Linked DNA regions of Sus scrofa. The protein of the gene in region 3 interacts with the protein of the main gene of each other region in a pairwise test. Links are inferred from orthologs where the notes say so. Each region holds a gene or a part of one and is shown on either strand. Other genes may lie near its edges. The genes, in order: LONRF1, AMMECR1 and ADAMTSL4.

Region 1 (6,879 bases), on a different chromosome or scaffold from region 3:
TATCGATACTTGCTAAAACCATAAGAGGCAAGAAGCAGGATTTAATCCTCACTCCGGTAATATTAGTAACGTGGTAGAGAAAAGGAGTTAACATTATAAGATGTTGATTTCAATTTTAGCGAAATCACCTTCTAGCTGGAGTGCTACTTTTACATTTTTTAAATATTTTGATTAATATTTACTACGTATTTACTTTGTAAGGTACCATTCAAAGCACTTCACTTGTTTTGACTCTCTTAATTCTCACAACAGGCCTAGGCCATTGTTTTGGTTGATAACTATCTACTGGCAGATCCAATTCTCACTTTTCAGATAAGGAAAGCAAAACAGGGAGGCTAGACACAGGCCCAAGGCCAGAGAGCAGGTGAAAGCTAAGCTGGGATTCAAACCCAGGTGGTCAGACAGCAGCATGCACAGCTCTGACCACTAGGCAGCTCTGCATCTCTAATCCTAGGTGCCTCACTTTCCCTCTGAGGATAACACTACTCCACAGGATTCCTTGTGAAGATCAAATGATATTAAGAATTTAAAACTACTAGGTAATAGTAAAGGACTACATAATTGATATTCAAGATAAAAATTTCCTTCTCTAAGTATTTTAAATGAAATGTTCTCCCCCTCATAACTCTTATTTCTTTTTAAACCAGTTCAAACTGTAAATTATACTCTTCTATTGTCTTCTTTGGGGGGAGAGTGGCAAGTCAGTGCAAAAATTCATTGAAAATAAGAGAGCATAACAAAGTGGGATCATTTCAATAGACTCCTGAGTATAAAAATTCAATACAGAAAAGACTTTTACATAATGTCCTTGAAAACTAAAAAAGACAGAAAGTTATGAAACATCTGAGAGTTAATACCAAAAGATCAATGGATTAAATGTTATCTAAATATATTTCGATTCAACAGAAACTTATGTAATCTCAATGGGAACGTTCTGATTTTGGCAAAGGTTTTCTAGCTTTCCTTTCTTGTTGACAAGGATTAAATTTGGATGTGTGTGGGCTAACTGTATGTAGACTAGATTTTTTTCCTAGTTAATAGTATTTACTTGTTTCATTGTAAGAATCATATGAAAAAATTATAGTGAAGGTCTTTTTCCACTGTCAACAATAATGAAGATATCAGAGTAACTACAACTGAATACAATTATAAACACATTTTAAATGCCGATCTAGCTAACTAGCTCTCAAAAAGTTTAACTCCACAAGTAGATTTCTAAGTCTACCATATCTTTTTATTTATACTCATAAACTGTTAAACACTTAATATCTGTACTTCACCAGTTACAATGTGTTGGTTCTAAGGTTTTTTCCCTCTAGTCTGTAATGAAAATTCAAAGGATGAAAAAAGCTATCTTCATTAGTACCATTCAGACACGTTTTTGACAGGAATTTTTGAAAGACCTAAAAATGAGGGGAAAACAGACTAATGAGGTGAAAGCAGAAGACTTGAGTTCAAGTTCTGCAAAAGCAGAATTAACCAGCTGAATGGACAAGATTCCACATGCAGTCTATGCAAAAAGAAAAAAGGAGAAAAAGTAGATCTTTCATTCTTTTTCTGTTAAAAATAACATCCTCAACCCCAGGCCTCAAATCTTCTTTAATTAAAAGATTATTGGTCATAGAACACCAAGCTACATCTTAATTAGTAAATGTACTCCCTGTTCTTCCAGAGATTAGGCTCTGAATTCTTATGAAATGCCTTATTTAAGAGATCAAACCACTAAATCAGTAGGAGTTAATACTGAATAGCGCGGTCAATAAGTTTCATCCTTTATTGGTGACAAAATACTTTCTCAGAAATTTATGTTAAACATTTTCGTTGTATGAGCTATAAAGGTAGGACAAACCATGGTCCAACATTTAGGAGAACTGGAGGACATAGTGTTTCCTCTACAACCAGCAGGCTTGTGACTGTGGACAAGTCATTTCACTGTCCCAGCTTCTGCTGCTTCATTTTTAAAATGAAGACCATGTCTTAGATGGTGTGTACTTCCCCCTTCATACTCTAGTCACCTGGAGAGGCTGAGTTGTACCAGCATTTTATATTCCAAATAGTTTTCTTTGGTTCTGCCTCTATCAACCTATTTTACAACTGCAACTTCTCATAAAGACACTGAAAGAATATAAAAATATGCCAAGTTTGTGCTTTAAACTTTAAAGGTAGTCAAAAATTCAAAGTAGGTATTAGTTCAAAATGACTAAGGACTTAAGGTAAAAGACCTACAACAAATAACTTTACATAGTTTATAAATGCACCTAATACCACTTTATATTCCACATCTATTTTCTTGGGGATTATTTCCCCAAGTATGATTTCATGCCTATATATACCTTAATTTTGAAATATGCTTACTCAACACAAGGCTCAGCAGTGACAAATCTGATATTTGGGGCCTGACTATTGTGCGGGAGGTTGTCCCAGTGCATCATCAGTTGTTGAGCAGAAACCCTGGCTTCTACCCATTAGATGTACCAGCACCACTCCCACAAGGGGTGGCAACCAAAAAATGTCTCTAAGATATGGCCTCAGACAATGTTCCCTGGGTCAAATCCACCTGGTAGTAAACTACCCATTTAAATAACTTTTCATTTTACAGAGCTAACTCTGGCAATGCCTCTTTCCACAGCCTAAAACCACCTCAAGTGCTAGCCTAGGTTAGGAGGCCGAAACTTTCTTGGAGCGAAGAAATAGAGACAAAAGCTCCCCAAGGCCTTTCCCCGCAGCTGAATAAAGAGTGGAAAGGCAAAGAGAAGCGTGGCAACGAACTCATCAGGCTGCCTCTTTATCTTTAACCAGGTGTATTCAAAAGTAAGTACACGTGTGTTTCTGAAATAAGCATGATTTGAAATAGGTTGAAACCAACAAGAGCAACCAAGTCTGCAGGGGTTTTCATCTAAAACTGCCTACAACTCCAAAGCCCGATTGCCTACAGAGCCTCGGGGTGCGGGGTGCGGGCGCCAGACTCCCGCCACGCCCACTGGACGTCACCCGTTACACAACGCCCTCCCCCCGCTCCTGCTTATGCAATTCTGCCTCCCGCGGCTCCCAATTGCCCTGGTGACTTTTGCGGGAGACCGAGGTAGACGTTGCACGCCCAGCCTCTGCTGGGGATCCTCTCCCCTCCCCGGCCAGCGTCGCCCCGTGGCGGCCCCGGCCCCGGCCGCGGAGGCCAATTACCGGAAAGAGCGCGGCAGGAAGCTGGCGGCCACTTGGGCTCGCCCCACTCCCACCCCATCCCGCGCTCCGGCGGCCTCGCCCGGCCACCCGCTCGCTCGGTCACCCGGGCGCGCCCGCCACAGCGCCAGGCCGCGGCGGAGGGAAACCCGGCCGCGTCACAGTCGGCTGGAGGGCGATCCCCATTGTGACCGAAGCACCCTGGGGCGCCGCCCCCTCCCACACCCTCCCGGACCCTGAGACGCGGCCTCGGCCGGCGGACGGCCTCGGGGAAGCCGCTCGGGGTCGCCGAGGAGCTCGGGGCCGCCCGCCCGTCGGGGAAAGGAGGGTGGGGTCGCCGGGCCCGCGCGGTCACCTGCTCGCAGAGCCTCGCAGGCAGCGGCCAGGGCCTCCCGGTAGCGGCCCTGGTGCAGCAGCTCCCCGAGCCGGCCGGCCGCCCGGGCTCGCGCCCGCTGGCCTGGGAACCACTTCTCGGCCAGGTGGTTGAGGACGACGCTGGTCCTGAAACCCGAGGCGGCGATGGCGGCGGCCAGAGTCGGCGGCCGCGGGGAAGTCCCCTCAGCATCCGCGGCCGCTGCGGGCGGCAGCCGGTCCCGGCAGAGGCGGCAGCGGGCGCGGAGCTCCCTCCGCAGGCAGCGGCGGCAGTAGCTGTGGCCGCAGGGCACAGTCACCGGCTCGCTCAGGAAGCCCCCGCAGCCGAGGCAGCTGAGCAGCCCCCCGGCGCCAGCGGGGGCGCCCGCTGCCGGGGTCGCACTCCAGCGCAGCCCGTGGCGGAGCCTGTAGTTGAACACCAGGCAGTCCACCAGCGTTCCGAGGCACTCGGCCCTGACCGGGGCCCCACGGCGCAGCGCCGCCGCGTACGCCTCCAGCGCTCCCTTCAGGTGGCCGCCCAGCGCCAGCAGCTCGCCGCGGCGGAGCAGGAGCTCCCAGCGCTCCGACTCCGCGGCCGCGCGCTCCAGTCGGTCCCCGTCGCCGCCCACTTCCCAGAACCGGCCCCGGCTCGGCGGCCGAGGGGCCACCTCTTGGCTCCCTCCGGGGGAGCTCCTCGCCACGGCGGGAGAAGACATGGCCCGCGGAGGGCTGCGCCGCCGCCGCCGCCCGCCGCCACGGTCCCGGAGCCTCCGGGGCGCGCGGCTCCGCACGCTGCCCGCGAGCAGGGGGGCGTGGCGCGCGGACACGGCGGGGCGGCGCGCGCCCGGGAAGCCCCGGGGGCGGGGCCTGGAGGGCGCGGGGCGGGGCCGGGCGGAGCAGCGGCGCCCGGGACTCCCCCGCACCGCCCGCTGCCGGGTCCCTGCGGAGCAGACCGCCGGCCCCGCCTCTCCTGAAGCCCCTCCTGGCGGGAGACGCGGGGTCAGATGATCCCTCAGCGGGGATCTAATTGGACTCTCTGGAAAGGAGGGCCTGGCTTATAACTGAACAAAGCCCGAAGGAACCCAGACTTCCTTCCCCTACCCCCTGCCCCTCCGCCGGACATCCCCCACCTGGCGTGGCCTCTACCCTAATCCCAGTTTCGTGGGTGGTGTTCTGCCCGGCAGCCCACCTTGTGGGACTAAGTCCCAAACTGCCAACACTCTCTTGACTTTAACTTCCACCTGAGTGGGAACCCGCCCCCTCTTTGTGGCCCCTGGGAGCCTCCTGGTGTAGTGTCCCAGTGGTCAGGTGCTCCTCTGCATTTTCACTAGTTTATGCCCAAATTACAGATGGACACGTAAAGACAAAGGGTTTAGGAATGCGCAAAATCAGTCTAATGACTCCAAGGCTGGAGTAGGTCAATTTTAAGACCAAAATAATCCCACTCACCTATCTGATGTTACTCACTCCAGAGGGTAAAACATTTTTCCCTGGTGGTGCCAAGTTAAGGCTGCCTTTTTGGTTTAAAGCCCAGCGCCCCCGCTCCGCGCGCGCCCCGCTGTTTAAAGCTTTCCTCCCATCTCAGAGGAGACCAAAGTTTCCTCTGCACATCTCATATACTACCACACAGCTGGCTAAGGCCTATGTTTGGCATTTTTAAAGAGAAAATACCAGGATAAACGTTTTTCGAACAGCAGTAACCATATCACTGTAACCCAAGCAGGGTCTGCAGTTTTGCCCATAGAAGAAAAAGAAAATGATACAATTTTTGTTTAACAGATTATATTTCCTTTAAACTTGGTGGCAGCGAGATTAAAGCTCTTTGTTGAAAATGTTTATAGAATTGACCATTGGGTACTGGATTATTAATGCTGTCCTTTTTCAAATGTTTAGAAGCAATAGCCCAGAGAGGGAAAGTTACTTGCCCAAAATCCCACAGCTAATAATACAGGTTTTAAGATCACTTTACTCTCATTCCACTATTATTAGATCTTAGGTAAAAAAAATTTCAAATGCGGAATTTTAATCTGATGCTATGTCTGAAAATAGCTGATATTTAACATCCCTCTTTATACAGAACAGGCAGCTAGGCTGAAAACTGCTTTGATTTACATGAGTTTTTAACTACACAGTAAGTACATCTTGCAACTTCAGAGGAAATGTATATACATGGTGACCAAGGGAACAAGGAAGAAGCTGAGGAAAAGCTCAGGCTCCTGTTCCAACAGGGTGCAGAGATAAACCAGTTCATTCATCATCCACATTGAACCTGAAGCAAACTGCAGCTGAGAGCCAAGGAGTAACTCCTAATCATTTGAGGTGACAAATAATGGGATTAATTCAGAGCATAACCTTGAATCTAGTCATAGCCCCCTTGAATTACTGCCTTCCCTTAATAAAAGAATGACATTAGTCAGAGGCCCACATACTCATCTGAAACTTGAAACTGTTTGTAGTAAAACAGATATCCATATGCCTGTGGACATTTACTTTTTGAAGTATTCCTGTCCTTAAGAACCACTTGCAAAATATGCAACAGTAAATATTTAATACATGTATTCATGATTACACAAAAAGTGTAAGTTGATAAACATGCTTATATTTCTTATCAAATATAGTTCAAATCAGGATTATTATGAAATTCCACCCCCCAAGTTAAATATATGATTCAGAAAATAATATGAAGCATCATTTGTCCTTTGCAATTTCTTTCCCCAATAAATATGACAAATAGCCACATTTGATTCTGGTGTGAAATAAAATAGTACAATTATGATAATGAGAGAAAAAATGAGACCGTAGGAGGCATCTTGCCGTGTTCTCCTTGGCATTTGTGAATGGTTATAATTCATGTTTGCTGGTTTATACATTTACATAACTGGTTCTCATTTATGTAACTTATTTATGTAAGAGGTTGTACTGCCTCTGTGGCCTTCGCATGCTGCCCAATTTCCCTCTGAATCAGGAAGTCTGGAGCAAAATGATCACTGGTTTTAGGATAGGACACTTGTCTGTCATTCTGTGCCACCAAAAGAGGATAAGCACTTTGATGCGACTGCTTTTTAAATTCAGAAGAGAAAGGAATTGGTATCGTTCTTCATTCATTTTCTAAAATTTGGACTTTGGGCTCTGACTCACCCAGCAGGCTGCCATGGAGGAGAGGGAATCCTGGCGGGGGGGGGGAGGGGAATGGGCAGGGAGAAGCAGGATGGGGTGAAACTCTCCTCTCTTTCCCTTCCAGCATTACGTGCTTGTGTCTTTGCTAAGAAAGTAGTAAAATCATGAGATTTGTATTTCATTTCAGTTTTTTCATGTTGTCTTCTAAAATAGATCAGTTATGTAAGAGAGTAA
Region 2 (6,779 bases), on a different chromosome or scaffold from region 3:
ACTTATTTTTTGGTCTTCTTTATAGGGCTGCACCTGCAGCATATGGAGGTTCCCGGGCTAGGGGTCGAATCGGAGCTACAGCTGCCGGCCTACGCCACAGCCACAGCAACGTGGGATCTGAGCCACATCTGCAACCTATACCACAGCTCATGGCAACGTCGGATCCTTAACCCACTGAGGGAGGCCAGGGATCAAACCCACGTCCTCATGGATATTAGTTGGGTTCGTTAATCACTGAGCCATGACGGGAACTCCCCTACTTCTCTTTTAGATTTTGTGCATTTGCGTGTGTGTGTGTGTGTGTGTGTGTGGCTGCGCCTGTGGCATGCAGAAGTTCCTGGGCCAGGGATCAAACCTGCACCACAGCAGTGACCTGAGCCACTGCAGTGACAACACTGGATCCTTAACCCACTGAGCCACAAGGGAACTCCTTCCCTCCTTCTGAGTGATGACTAAGTCTTCCTCCCCCTCCCCAATATTTTCCTTTCCCTCCTTTCTTCCCAGCACACTGCCACAGCTCATGTTGAGGCTCCCGTTTCACCTAGTGTGGATGTCTCCCAATGAATTTTCCTATTTCCAATTTCAATCTTACATGTCCCCAAATCCATCTGTTCAAACCCTTCGATGGCTACCAAGTGCCTATGGAATCACGTTTAACCTTCATATTCTCCATGAACTGGCCTGACCTACCTTCTGGACCACATCTGGCCCAGTGACCGCCTTCCCTATGTACACTGAAAGACCAACCCGATCAGACTATTGAACGAATTTGCTCTGTACCTCGCCACCTACATACCTTGACTCACAAAGTTCCGTTTAAGTGCATCCCTTTCCTCCCCACTCTCCACCTGTCAAAAGAGTCTACTCATTCTTCAAGCCCAGCCTCAAATCTATCTCCTCTTTGGAATTTTCTGTTATCCCCAACCCCTCCTGGAATTCCTCTTTCCCTACTCCATGAGCTCACATCATCCATCACATTCTGTCTTATATTAACAATTATTTTTGTACATGCCCTTCTGTTCTCCTAGAAAGTGAACTCAGAGAAAGCCGAGATGGAGGCATTTTCAAATCTGTGACTCCTCAGAGCTGAGAAGAGTCCGTTTTTAAACTACAGGCATTCCATGTGGTTCCGTGGAATGAAAAGAAATGGAAACAGCAACCCATTTTCCGAAAATGTTCGATCTTTTCCTTTTAAAATAAGTCCCCCTATTGGCCCGTGCAGAAATTCATTTAGCATGTGCGAGTCTAGCTCAATTGTGTTTTCCAGCAAGCTCTCTATCACTGCCAAAGTTCTAAGGTGAAATTCAAATTTGAGGACTGCTTATCAGAATCCTGGGGTTCTGCTAAGCAATGGCAAAAGCTAACCGGTAGCTAATTCAGGCCACTTTCTTCAATAATGCAGTCTAAAGGCTCAGAGGGCTGGCTTCTGCAAAGCCAGAGGAATCACACAGAGTGAAGATGGGCTGGGTGGGCCCATACATCATACAGGCTTTGCTGCCAAGCAGAGGTTCCACTGTTATCCGCCCCTCAGTATGGCCCAGCCATTCATTTCCACTCTGTTTCAGAAAAGAGAAGCAAGCACAGTTAGAGAGACCAAAGAAATCAAAAGGTTACAGGTATACACATCAAAATGTACTAGGCAGCCTTGCACTAGGAAATGCTTCTGTACCTGGTCAGTTTTATGGTTTTCCTGAATTCATTAGTAATCGGAGCTTTGTATCCTCCTTTCCTCAGTAAGGAGTCTATGGTCTGAATATGGTCCCATCCTGTGGAGAGTAGACCAGATAAAATACCAGTCAAGCACATGTAACGAGCACCTGTGGTCAAATACAAAATGACTTTGTAGAGGTCAGCGATCACTGTCACCAAATGCCATCAACCCCTTTGGTCCTAAAAACAGTCACACAGAAGAGCTAAGGCTGCATCGGGTACAGAAGCAGGTACCGCCCAGTACGCCTTATATCCTAGCTATACCCCCGATGGCTAGCAACCTTGGCCTCTTTATCTCAACCGCATTCGGAGGCAAGGAACCCAAGAGGCTGGCAGTAACGGCTCTGTCGTGTCTCACATAACAAACCACAAACGCTGTGCCCTCCTCCACCAGGGACAGCTTTAAAAGGGAGGGAAAAGCCTCACTGAGCCAACGCAGTAGTAGTTAGGACTCCCACACTAACTCATGGTCATTGCCATGTTTAGCAGCATCTTCTGTAGTCGATCAAGGGCATCTGTGTGCAGTATTCAAAGGCGTTTTTATTGTTTCTGACACAGGATGGATACTCATACCCGAGGCCCTCTACCTCTCAGGTCTGCTTTACAGAGTCACGGAATGCAACTACAGAATTAAGACATTTTCTAAAGCAACCCAGATCTTCAGATAGCTGCTTGAAAGACTGACTCTCTCGTTTGGGGGTGTGGGGGGGATTTAATGATATTAAATTTGGCAGTTATACATCTCACATTTACATGAAACAGATATGGGAAAACGAAGTACAAATGCTTTCTGATGAGAGGAAACGCTCCATGAGATAAAGAAGAGACATTGCTTTGAGCTAACCTGACACCAGAATTTAGCAGTGGGTGGAAAGGAGAGGACAGTGCAGAGTGAAATGTTATTTTGTGTGGCAGTGGTAACTCATAAAGGTGTGTGCTACGGCGGTAAAACGGAAAAAAAGTTTGATTAGGAACATGTAAAACACTAAAAATGGTTCATATTTTCTCAATGCTCCTAATCTTCATGGGAAACCTACGATCGTAACGGCAGCACAGGAAGTAATGGGAACCAGCTAAGAAGGAAACATTTGATACTGACAATGAACTGCGTGGCTGGCCGCCAAGCGAAAGGCTGATTTATGCCACGAGGCTAGAGTACAGTGGAATATGGGAAGATGGCACCTCAAATTCATAGCAAACCACTGCCTAAAACAACACTCAATTTTTACAAATCTTTGCTTTTTTTTTTGAAAGTACACTTTTGTATGTTTTTGCCGTCAAACTTTAGTGCAGAGGTGCAACTTTTGTGTGAAGTCACCGATTTCATTCAGACATTGCAGTGGCAGTGAGGGAAGAGTCATTTCTTATCATTAATTTGACAGTGATCAATTATCAGATAAAACTGCAAGGTCAGATAGCGCATTTCAATTTGTGTATTTGTTTCAATTCTTCACCAGATCATATGAAATAAAGTACAACAATGACCTTGCTCCTTTGCAACCTCCGGTAGGTAGGTGGCGGTGCGTTTTGATCCTTTTTCATTGATGAATTCTATTCTAATGCCATGTACACCCACCTGAAAGAAATTGGCAGTTTTATTAGTACAGTCTTCTTCATAGAAACAGAAAGAAAAAGTTATAATTTAACTTTCAAGAGAATGCAGTTCTTCCTTTCCCCTTGTTTTTGGAAGGGCATGTCTGTTTTCTCTTTCCGAGACACTGACTTTGGGACTGAAGGTCGTGATGACAGCCATGGAGGCTCAAAACATCGATGTGCATGTGACCAACATGCGCTGGGCCACGCCATTCTGTTTAGAACCAGAACCACCATGCTGCGCCTGGGTGCAGAATAAGACCATCAACGCCAAGAGTCCTGCCCTCCCCCGCCCCTGCCCCAATTTGTGGCTCATGACAATAAGGGGCAAGATCCAGGGAAGTGACTTCAGGGAGAGAGCAAACAACCCTCCTGCTTTCAGGGATGATCACCGTTTCAGATGAAGTCCCCACATTTCTGGGGCTGCTGATTCCCATCCCAAACTGTCTAGTAAACCTTGACTTGTATGTACATAAACAAACAGAGAAGACCCCCCCCCCAAAAAAAATCCAACCAGATCCTATGAGCTTACCCATTACAGATTGTATTTCTAAAAAAATGTATTATGGCCAGTGGCAAACCCTCACCGTCTATCTACAAAGCTGCTACCAAATCTAAAAGCAATAAAGATTGTGAATTGCTTCAGGGCAGGGCGTTTCTGCACAGCTTCTCATATACCAACCCAGAGACCACTATAACTTTATCACGTGAAACAGACAAACTTTTGGTGGCGCCCTAAAAAAGAGTCTAAGTAAGTAAGTGTGTGCAATTTCTTGCCAATGGTTTAAGAAAAGTTACATATTGTTTCTTTGAGGTAACATTCAACCAGAAGAAAGCTGTCCTCTCCCCTCACGTCTCACAGAGAATAATAGTGCAGAGAGGAAAGATCATTAAAAAGTTCTTGACGTCCTTAGATACACTGATAATAAAAATGGCATTTCAAAAGTATAACCTCTCCATTCTCTTCTCCCCAATCTGTGGTTGTTTAGATCAGTGGTTCCCACGTGGAGGTTAAGATCGTCCAAGGTCCTGGAGGGAAGATGTTAAGACCAGGTAAACATTTTTACCTGAGAAAGAGGCTTCTTTGCAGAGCAGGCGGTTACACCCATACATCTGTATGGATTGTCAAGGTCTAGAAGAGGCAGAGGGGGTCCCCGAAAACTTCTTTTGCTTCTTCTGTGCTTACTGGCCTTTTTCAGAGAATAAAAACTCCTCTGGAGTTCCCGTCGTGGCGCAGTGGAAAGGAATCCGACTAGGAACCATGAGGCTGCGGGTTCGATCCCTGGCCTCGCTCAGTGGGTTAAGGATTCTGGCGTTGCCCTGAGCTGTGGTGTAGGTTGCAGACACGGCTCGGATCCCGCGTAGCTGTGGTGTAGGCCGGCAGCTCCAGCTCCGATTCGACCCCTAGCCTGGGAATGTCCATATGCCGCGGGTGCGGCCCTCAAAAGGCAAAAGGCAAAACAACAACAACAAAACCTCCTCTGGGAAATCCTTTTCATTTTTCCTCCCAGGTCTTCTGCACATCCATCCATTAGCGTCTGTCCGATCTTCTGATCAGTTTATGTTTTTTATGAAAGCCTATCTCTGTGGCTCTTTTCTTCTATCTAAGATCAGTATTCGTATGAATCTCCTTCTGCTGAAAATGCAATCAGGGCAGCTGTTTAAAAACTAACACAATAAGGCCTCCCATACCCTGTGGGAAATGGCTCTGGACAGCTGAGAAGAAATATGAGTGCTTAGCTATCAGGCCTTTCCAGGATAAAGGACATCTACTAATCTCCCCAGTGCCCGACATGGTACTGAGACAATGACAAATTTGCAACCGTTTCTGTATACTGCCTTTCTGATGAGTGACTTTGAAATTTTTTTCCTTCAACATATCAGATCCTTCATCATTTGTTTTTAAAAACATAACGGCACATATAATTTATGCTCCCATCATTCACTGAGGTAAATTCTGCATCTTCGACTCCATTTATCAAAACTCTGTCATGTTAAAATTGAAAAGAATTTTGGTGTTTATTAAGGTGTCTAATCAAAATTGTGAGTGAAAGACTGTTTCCCTGTCTGTGAGATGAGGATGCTGGACTAAATCAGTGCTATTTAATTGGCACGGGGTGAGGATGGGGGCCGCAGCTTATCAGAATGGCAGGAGGTTTTGTACTTCACCAAGTGTGGTTTGGAAAAATAATAACGCCCCAGGTGATTTTTTTTTCTGGGTTAACTAGATAACCTCTAATAATCAGTCTAGCTCCGACAAACTGTGGCTATTTATTGGGGGAAAAAAAAGCGATTTAGGCAAATTGGAGGTGATTTAGACATAAATCCTTTCTTCACAGGAGTACATTCTGTGTTCTTCAACAAAAATTACAGAGATTTTAAAGCCTAGTAATTTAATAATGAAAAGAGGTAAGACCAACTGTATGGTACGTGGGTAATATCTTAATAAAGATACAGCTATGTGAAGAGGTTAAGACCAAGCTAGAAGGACACGCTGACCAAAATCAAAATTATTCATGAGTACAACTGATTTACATTTGTATTTTAAGAAGGCCCAACTATCAAATTTGATAGGAAAATTATCAAAATTCTCCCATTTGGAATTAGGACCCCACTTACAACGTTTAAAATTCTTTTCTGTGCTCCTATGATTCTGAACGATTGAAAGCCCCCGTATATTGAACTGCAAGTATCGTGATTTTCAAGTGTTCCCTTTGTGAGAAGTAAGTTATCTCATAGGTCAAAAACACCCTCCGCAAAGATAGAAAGCCGAAGCCAGAGTGACTTCATTTTTTTTTTTCCCACTAGTGGCATCGGGAGAATGGTAATAATGTTCTGAGCAGAATCAAAGTATTATTATGCCTTTTGTCACCTGTTGAGCGACAGCATTTTCCTTGCTCCCAGAAGGAAACAGTCATACTGCTCAATTAAAAGAGGAGAGTGGGAAATAGCCTGCTGTGGAGAATGACCGAATCTGGCCGACCTGTGGAAATCACTGGCTTTGCAAATTAAGTCATCGCCACTGAAATGAGCACCAAAACGAATTCTGTGTTGTTGGAGGCAGGCATCTGTCACAGCTGCGACTCCCAAATGTAATCCTCATGTATAATAACCGAACCCCCCTCTGACAGACTGGAGAATCCTTTGGGCCAGCAGCATCTCAAGAGACAAAGGCCACAGTTGCCGTAGCAGCTAGATAAGAGATCCGCTCACCAGGGGTCTGGGATTCCTTGCAGCAAACTTGCCCTACGACTGCATCGACTGCATCGCAATAACGGGCCATTCCTTGGGGGGATGGATAAGGGGTTGGCACATGGGAAAAACGACATCACCAGACCCTGCTAACTACCATTGCCCAAAGTACAGCCAGGTGGGCCAGAACTGGAGACGTGTGCATCCAGCCTTATCGGAGTCTTTGGGTCATTTTCAAAATTCTTAGAAGGTCTGAGGGGGGAAAAAAAATGCTTTCAAGGTTC
Region 3 (6,879 bases):
CAGACAATTCGAGTAACAGTCATGTTTTGGAGTTTATACTTGGTGTCTTAAATTTGCTTTTTTTCTCAAAGTAACTTGTCAATATCTTAGACCTAGGATATTTTATAATGTGTCCTAAAAAAGAAAACTTAGGAGTTCCTGTGTGGCTCAGGGGGTTAAGGATCTGGTGTTTTCACTGTAGCAGCGCAGGTCATTTCTGTGGCTTGGGTTCGATCCTTGGCGCAGGAACTTCCACACGCCCTGGGCGGGACAAAAAAAAAAGCGCTCTAGCAACCCTGACCTGTATCCCCACAAAATAACAGGGGTCTCAGCCATTTCCTGCCAGCTTACCTACCACGCTATGGGTCTGAGCTTGGGTAAAAAAGTTGGAAAGCAGGACTGGAGCCTGGGACTCATTTGCCTGTTCTATATCATTTCAATTCAAATATTTCTTTCTTTTCTTTTTGGCCACACAGTGGGGACTTCTCAAATATTTCTTTTAACCCTACAAATACAAAAACACACAGACAAAACCCACAAATACAAAATATGAAATAGGGAGTTCCTGCTGGGGTGCAGTGGGTTGAAGGATCCAGTGCTATGTTAGGTGCAGCGTAGGTCATACCTGTGGCTTGGATTCAATCCCTGGCCCAGGAAATTCCATATTCTAAGGGTGAAGACATTAAAAAAAGAAAAAGAAAAAAAAAATAGATGACACAAAGTAGCCTAAATTGGTCCTGTCTCAAAAGAACTTAGGGATTTATTGAAAAAATAAAATACAGATATTAAACTTCATATAAGGATATAATGCTTCTATTGTAAAAGTATTTTATATTTTCACTTCCCTCATCTTTTAGAGATGAGATTTTTTTTTTCCCCCTTTGGCTCTGATCAACACTTGTGGAAGTTCTGGGGGCCAGGGATTGAATCCAAGACACAGTAGCAACTGAGCCACAGCATAGAAAATGCTGGAACTCTGAGCCACCGAGGAATTCCTAGATAACATTTGCTTCTGTTGAGTCCCGTTACCTCCCCAGGGCTCTTTCTCCAACTAGACCCAACTCTTTGGCGGCCAGAGACTATTCTAACTATGCCTTCAGCACCAAGTGCCACAAGTGCTCAAGAAATGATAGGTGGGCACATCTGAGACCCAGTTATTTTGTGGGGATGCAGGAATGTTGCTAGAGCTTCTATTTTGGGAGAAGGGGCTGCACCTGCTGCATGTGGAAGTTCCTGGGCCAGGAATGGAACCCAAGCCACAGCAGCGAACCAAGCTGCTGCAGTGACAATGCCCCTGAACCTTAACCCGCTATGCCACAAGTGAACACTTAGAGCTTCTTCTTCTTGTGCTTTTTTTTTTTTTTTTTTTTTCCTGTCTTTTTTAGGGTCGCACCCACAGCATATGGAAGTTCCCAGGCTAGGGGTGAAAATCGGAGCTACAGCTGCCAGCCTATGCCACAGCCACAGCAACCCCAGATCCGAGCCACATCTGCCACCTGTACCACAGCTCACAGCAATGCCGGATCCCCCACCCACTGAGTGAGGCCAGGGATTGAAGCCGCATCCTTACAGATACTAGTCAGATTCATTTCTGCTGTGTCACAACAGGACTCCCAAAAATATCCTGGTTTTAAAATATTGACAAGTCACTGAAAAAAAACCAAGAGCTTAAAAATACTGAAATAAATAAATGAATACTAATAAATAAATAAATAAATAAATAAATAATAAATACTGAATAGGAGCCCTACGTTGCTGTGGCTGTGGTGTAGGCTGGCGGCTGCAGCTCCGATTTGACCCCAGCCTGGGAACTTCCATATGCTTCAGGTGCAGCCTTAAAAAGCAAACAGGAGTTCCCGTCGTGGCACAGTGGTTAACGAATCCGACTAGGAACCATGCTCAGTGGGTTAACGATCCAGCGTTGCCGTGAGCTGTGGTGTAGGTCGCAGACGCAGCTCGGATCCTGCGTTGCTGTGGCTCTGGCATAGGCAGGCAGCTACAGCTCCGATTCGACCCCTAGGCCTGGGAACCTCCATATGCCGTGGGAGCGGCCCAAGAAATGGCAAAAAGACAAAAAGAAACAAACAAACAAACAAAAACAAACAAACAGGAGTTCCAGTGGTGGCACAGTGGTTAACAAATGCAACTAGGAACCATGAGGTTTCGGGTTTGATTCTTGGCCTTGCTCGGTGCCATGAGCTGTGGTGTAGGCCTGCGGTTACAGCTCTGATTAGACCCCTAGCCTGGGAACCTCCATATGCCGAGGGAGTGGCCCTAGAAAAAGCAAAAAAATACAGCAAACAAACAAACTGAATAGACTCAATAATACACGACTGCGGTTGATGAATAAATGGCAAATAAAAATTTAAATCGTAGTGTCCATTTGTTATCTACTGTCAGCCATTTTGTATATATTATTTTTCTTTGTTTTTAACTAATGACATAGATAATGCTCATGGTTAAAAATTCAAAAACATATAAGCATAGAGTGACAGCCTCCTAACCCCACAACCCCTCCCCAGGTATTGTCTCCAATTTTGAGTCTGGGATGTATTCTTCCATAAATAGACAGACGTATCTCCAAGCCTGTCATATGAATCAGATAAGCCCATTTTACAGATGAGGAAACTGCAGCACAGAAAGTTTGAAGTACTCATCCAAGACCACAGAGCTGACAAGTCCTGGAGCAGAGATTCAAATCTAAATCGTCTGACTCCTAAGTCAGCGCATTCCTCCCGCTATGCCCTGTGTGTCAAATTTTATGGATGAAGAAACCTAGGCTTGGAGTTCCCCTCCTGGCTCAGCGGTAATCAATCCAACAAGTATCCATGAGGATGTGGGTTCGATCCCTGGCGTCGCTCAGCGGGCTAAGGATCTGGTCTTGCCATGAGCCGTGGCATAGGTTCAGAAGCTTCTCGGATCCCTGCGTTGCTGTGGTGTTGGCCGGGACTGCAGCTCTGGTTATACCCATAGCCTGGGAACTTCCCTATGCCCCTGGTGTGGCCCTAAAAAGACCAAAAAAGAAAAGAAGAAAAAAAAAAAAAAAAAAAAAGAAGAAGAAGAAGAAAAAGAAGAAACCGAGGCTCATAGAGGTCCCCTGAGCAGCCAGAACCACATGGTTCACAGCCAAACGTGGGAGAGGCAGGGATGAGAGTGTGCTTGCACCAGAGGCTGCGTGGAGGAGAGGGCCTCCGCCGATGGGGCATCTGGGATCGTGCGGGTCTATCTCGGCCCAGCAGTGCCCAGATCTGGGCCCAGAGGCTCGTCCACGCCGCTGGTGTACAGGAACCACCCAGCCCCTTGGCGCCCCTCGCGGCCGCCCCGCCAGGGCAGGCGCAGCACTCGCACCGCCCACTCGGAGCCGGCTGGGAGGCCCGGGTCCCGGAGTCCCGAGCCGCAGCCAGGCCGGGAGACAGTGCCCGGGGGCGATGGCTGTCTTCGAACAGGGCTGGGACCCCTTCGGCTTCGCCCCCTCGAGCCGTCGGCGGGCGCCGGGCGGGAGTAGCTAGTCCCGCTACTCTGGGTGGGTGGCCTTAGCGAGCCGGGGGCTCGGGGTGGGCCGCCCAGACCCGGGGGCCGGCGAGGGGCGCGGGCCGGGCGCGTGGCGGGAGGGCGGAGTGGGGGCGGAGAGGGGGCGTGGCGGGGGCGGAGCCGCGGCCGGAGGCGGCAGAGTCCGGAGCCCGGCTCAAGGGCCGCCGTGGCCGCCGCGGAGCAAAGCTGTCTCGAGAGAGCGCCCGGGCGCAGAGGGGTTAACGGGCCGCCGGGGCCTCGAAGAGCAGGTACAGACCTTCCCTGGGACCCCTGGCCCCGGCTGCCCTCTCTCCCAGGTCCCGTTAGACCACCGGCCCTGCGCGCCCGCGCCACCCGAGTTCCCTGCTCCCCAGGGTCGCGCCCCAGCCACGACCCCGGCCCCAGCTCTTAGAGCCTCGGAAGATCTTCCAGTCCCTGGGGCCGGATTCCTGGGGAGGGGGTCTGATCCCTTGGAACGCTGGCCCCGTCACCCGGCCAAAATTCCTACTAAGTCATAAAGTCGGAAAACATACGCAGGACCTCGCGGCATGCGCCGGGCGCCACCTGCCCTCATCTGAAAGGGTGCTCCTGGAGGATGTGTATCCCACCCTCCACCCCCGTCCTTTGGCCCTGGAGTTGGGGGATAGGGACGATGGGAGGGGTGCTGGTGGGTGCCCGTGATCAAACTCAGCCTGATTGGAAAGGAAGGACACCTGTCGGGTTGGGCCTCCCTCACTCAGGAGTGGAAGGTGCAAGGAGAACCAAAGTGTTTTCTCTCAGCATAGGGACTCTCCAGCCAGCCCTGGAACCTGCTGTCCAGCCTCCTGCCCCTCCGTGGCACCCATTTCCCAGAGGTGGGTCCCCTGGGGGTGAAGGGGTTAGTCTCTCCTTAATCTTCACTGGCCAGTGTGGAGGTGTGGCCGGGAGGAGCCCAGGTTCGTCTAGACCAATGTTAGCCTGGCCCAAGGGTGACCACTTCTGACCTCTCCTTTCCTCACCCTGGGCGGTGAGACACACCAGATGAGGAACATGAAAAGGGTGAAAAACACAAATGTGTGTCTGTTTCCGCAGTGGAGGGGGTGTCGGCCCCCTGCCCAGCTATGCAGGAGGTGGGGTAGGACTTTTCCAGAGAGGGAGCCAGGCCTGGCCATGGCCCCAGGAGCTCACGTCACCCCACCCCCCACCCCTCACTTCTCCAGGGAACTGCCAAAGCCAAACTCAGCTCAGGACAGGATTATGTGTACTGGGTAGACCCATGGAGAGAGAAAGCAAGATACAGACCTGGGGTAGCTGCGAGCAGAAGCAGAGAGGGATTGGAGAGGGGCCTGGCAGCAAGAAGGGGTAGACAGTGACCATCACCCCATCTCTCCTTCCCTTCAACCTCCCTCCAGTGAGAGGCAGGCAGAGAGCTGAAGGCTTGGGTGGAACGTTGGCCCTTCTCTGGAGCCCCTACCCGATCCCCCATCAGGGTGGAGTTGCTGACCTCAGTGGCCAGCCCAGCCAAGGGAAGGAGCAGACATCAGCAACCCCTTCCCAACCCCAAGGAGCTGAAGAGACCCTGCAGCTCGGGCTCAACCACTGCGACCCCTCCCTCAACTTCCCAAGTCCTGGGGTCTCAGGGAGGGGAGTGCGGGCTGGGAGTTGCTACCCCCAAGCACATTCCTGCCCTTCCCGCTGTCATTTTCCTGCCCCTGAGCTGGCCCACCTCGGCATTAGCTCCTTGGATTCCTCTCCCGGGTGCCTTTCAGATCCAACAGAAACATTTTTTTTTTTTTCCTGGAAAGCAGAGCTCCAAGCAGCCTGAGGAGTGGGGGTGGAAAGGCCTCACTGTGAGCAGGAAGGGGTTGGGGGGCAAGGGGGAGCGGTGGAAGAGTCAGGCTTAGACCAGGGGACTAAGTTCTGCTTCCCAGATGATCAAGGCTAGACTTCAGGATGGACTTCCCAGCTCTTCAGAAGATAGACCAATGCGGGACTGGGGAGCAACGACATCTCTAGCTGCATCTCCCCTTCCCAGGTTCTCCAAGCCCATCAGAATCTCGCCTGAAGTAAGCCCTCACTGATCCAGGGCTGGACGCCAGCCCCCAGAGGGAGGTGAAGTCTCAGTGGGAAAAATCACTTGCTTCTCTAGAGATTAAACCATCAGCCCATTTAGTTTATCCCTTGGCTGAAAAGCATTTGAGGCAGGCAGAGATGTGCTTGAGGGTTCCAGAAGGAGCTTAGCTAAGAAGGGAAGAGATGGAGTTCCTGTCGTGGCTCAGCGGTTAACAACCCCAACTAGGATCCATGAGGATGCGGGTTTGATCCCTGGCCTTGCTCAATGGGTTAAGGATCCGGCATCCCTTGAGCTGTGGTGTAGGTCATAGACACGGCTCTGATCTGGTGTTGCCACAGCTGTAGCTCCGATGAGACTCCTAGCCTGGGAACCTCCATAAAAGAAAGGAAGAGAAAGCTGGGAGACAGGCAGGGGAAACCCAGGGGCTTCCAGTCAGCAGCTCAGAGGGGGTGCCTGGCAAGTGCTTGCTGAGCCTCTTTTCTCAGCTTTCCAGGAGGAGCCAGGTGGAAAGCAACTTGAGAAGGATGCATGTGCCTGGGCTGGCTTTGAGACTGTCCCTAGTCAGGACTGGAAGGAGCTGAGACCTTCCTACAGTTGAGGGAGGGGATTTAGCCTGAGTCTGGAGGCTGAGGGCAGACCCTCACCCTCTAGCCTGGGCAGACGGACAAAGAAGTGTTCCTTCTTCTTCCCACCCTTAGGATCTTAAAGAGCTGGGCCAGTCTTCTCCACGCCTCCCTCCTCACTCTGACATGTCTTGCTGAGGGGTCATCCCTCCCAGTCCCCAGCCTTCCCGAGACTGGGTCCGTCTTCAGTCCTCTGAAGCCTAGATGCCCAAGTAGAGTGTTTCCTTTGGGTCCCCTCCTCCCTTGCCCTGGGGCCACCAAGGGAGGAGTGATGGAGAAGCAGGCGATCAGGTAAGAGGTTGGGGCTGCTCTAATGGAGGGATGGCTCTGTCCCCCTGTCTCTGGAAGTAAGAGGAAGGAGATCTCAGGGTGGAGCCGTGGGAGGTGGTAACTTCTGCTTTCTGAGAAGTTGGCATCAGGATGTGGGGAGCCCACTAGGGGTGAGGGGTGGTGTCAGACAGCACCTTCACTCCTGCCTTTGGTTTGCAGGCCCGGGTTGTGTCTGATGCTGCTTCTGTCCCTCCCTCAGCTCTGCCTGGATCAGGAGGTGAGCAGGGGACTAGAGGCTGTGAACCTTCCTCTCCCTGTCCCCCCCCAGCCCTGCAGTCTCCAGACAGACCACGTCTCCATTTTCCAAAGCCTCTGGCAAGCCATGGCCCCTTTCTCTCACGCTTGGCCCTCCCAGCATCCCCAACACCCTAACTCCTTGCCAAA

Evidence for each region.
Region 1: the proteins of ADAMTSL4 (region 3) and LONRF1 interact in binary tests that used the Homo sapiens proteins (3 or more experiments, as listed by UniProt). The two-hybrid records come from large-scale screens. The link is inferred for Sus scrofa from reciprocal best matches to the Homo sapiens genes ADAMTSL4 and LONRF1.
Region 2: the proteins of ADAMTSL4 (region 3) and AMMECR1 interact in binary tests that used the Homo sapiens proteins (3 or more experiments, as listed by UniProt). The two-hybrid records come from large-scale screens. The link is inferred for Sus scrofa from reciprocal best matches to the Homo sapiens genes ADAMTSL4 and AMMECR1.

The regions. Positions count from the first base shown.
Region 1 is NC_010459.5:912,879-919,757, forward strand, and holds the start of LONRF1 (LON peptidase N-terminal domain and RING finger protein 1), read right to left. Parts: upstream 4,344-6,879; 5' UTR 4,245-4,343; coding exon 3,533-4,244; intron 1-3,532.
Region 2 is NC_010461.5:90,310,779-90,317,557, forward strand, and holds part of AMMECR1 (AMME syndrome candidate gene 1 protein), read right to left. Parts: intron 3,287-6,779; coding exon 3,196-3,286; intron 1,767-3,195; coding exon 1,670-1,766; intron 1-1,669.
Region 3 is NC_010446.5:98,585,969-98,592,847, reverse strand, and holds the start of ADAMTSL4 (ADAMTS-like protein 4), read left to right. Parts: upstream 1-3,592; 5' UTR 3,593-3,758; intron 3,759-4,269; 5' UTR 4,270-4,343; intron 4,344-5,503; exon of another isoform or gene 5,504-5,580; intron 5,581-6,240; 5' UTR 6,241-6,436; coding exon 6,437-6,456; intron 6,457-6,654; coding exon 6,655-6,712; intron 6,713-6,879. UniProt on the Homo sapiens protein: Positive regulation of apoptosis. May facilitate FBN1 microfibril biogenesis.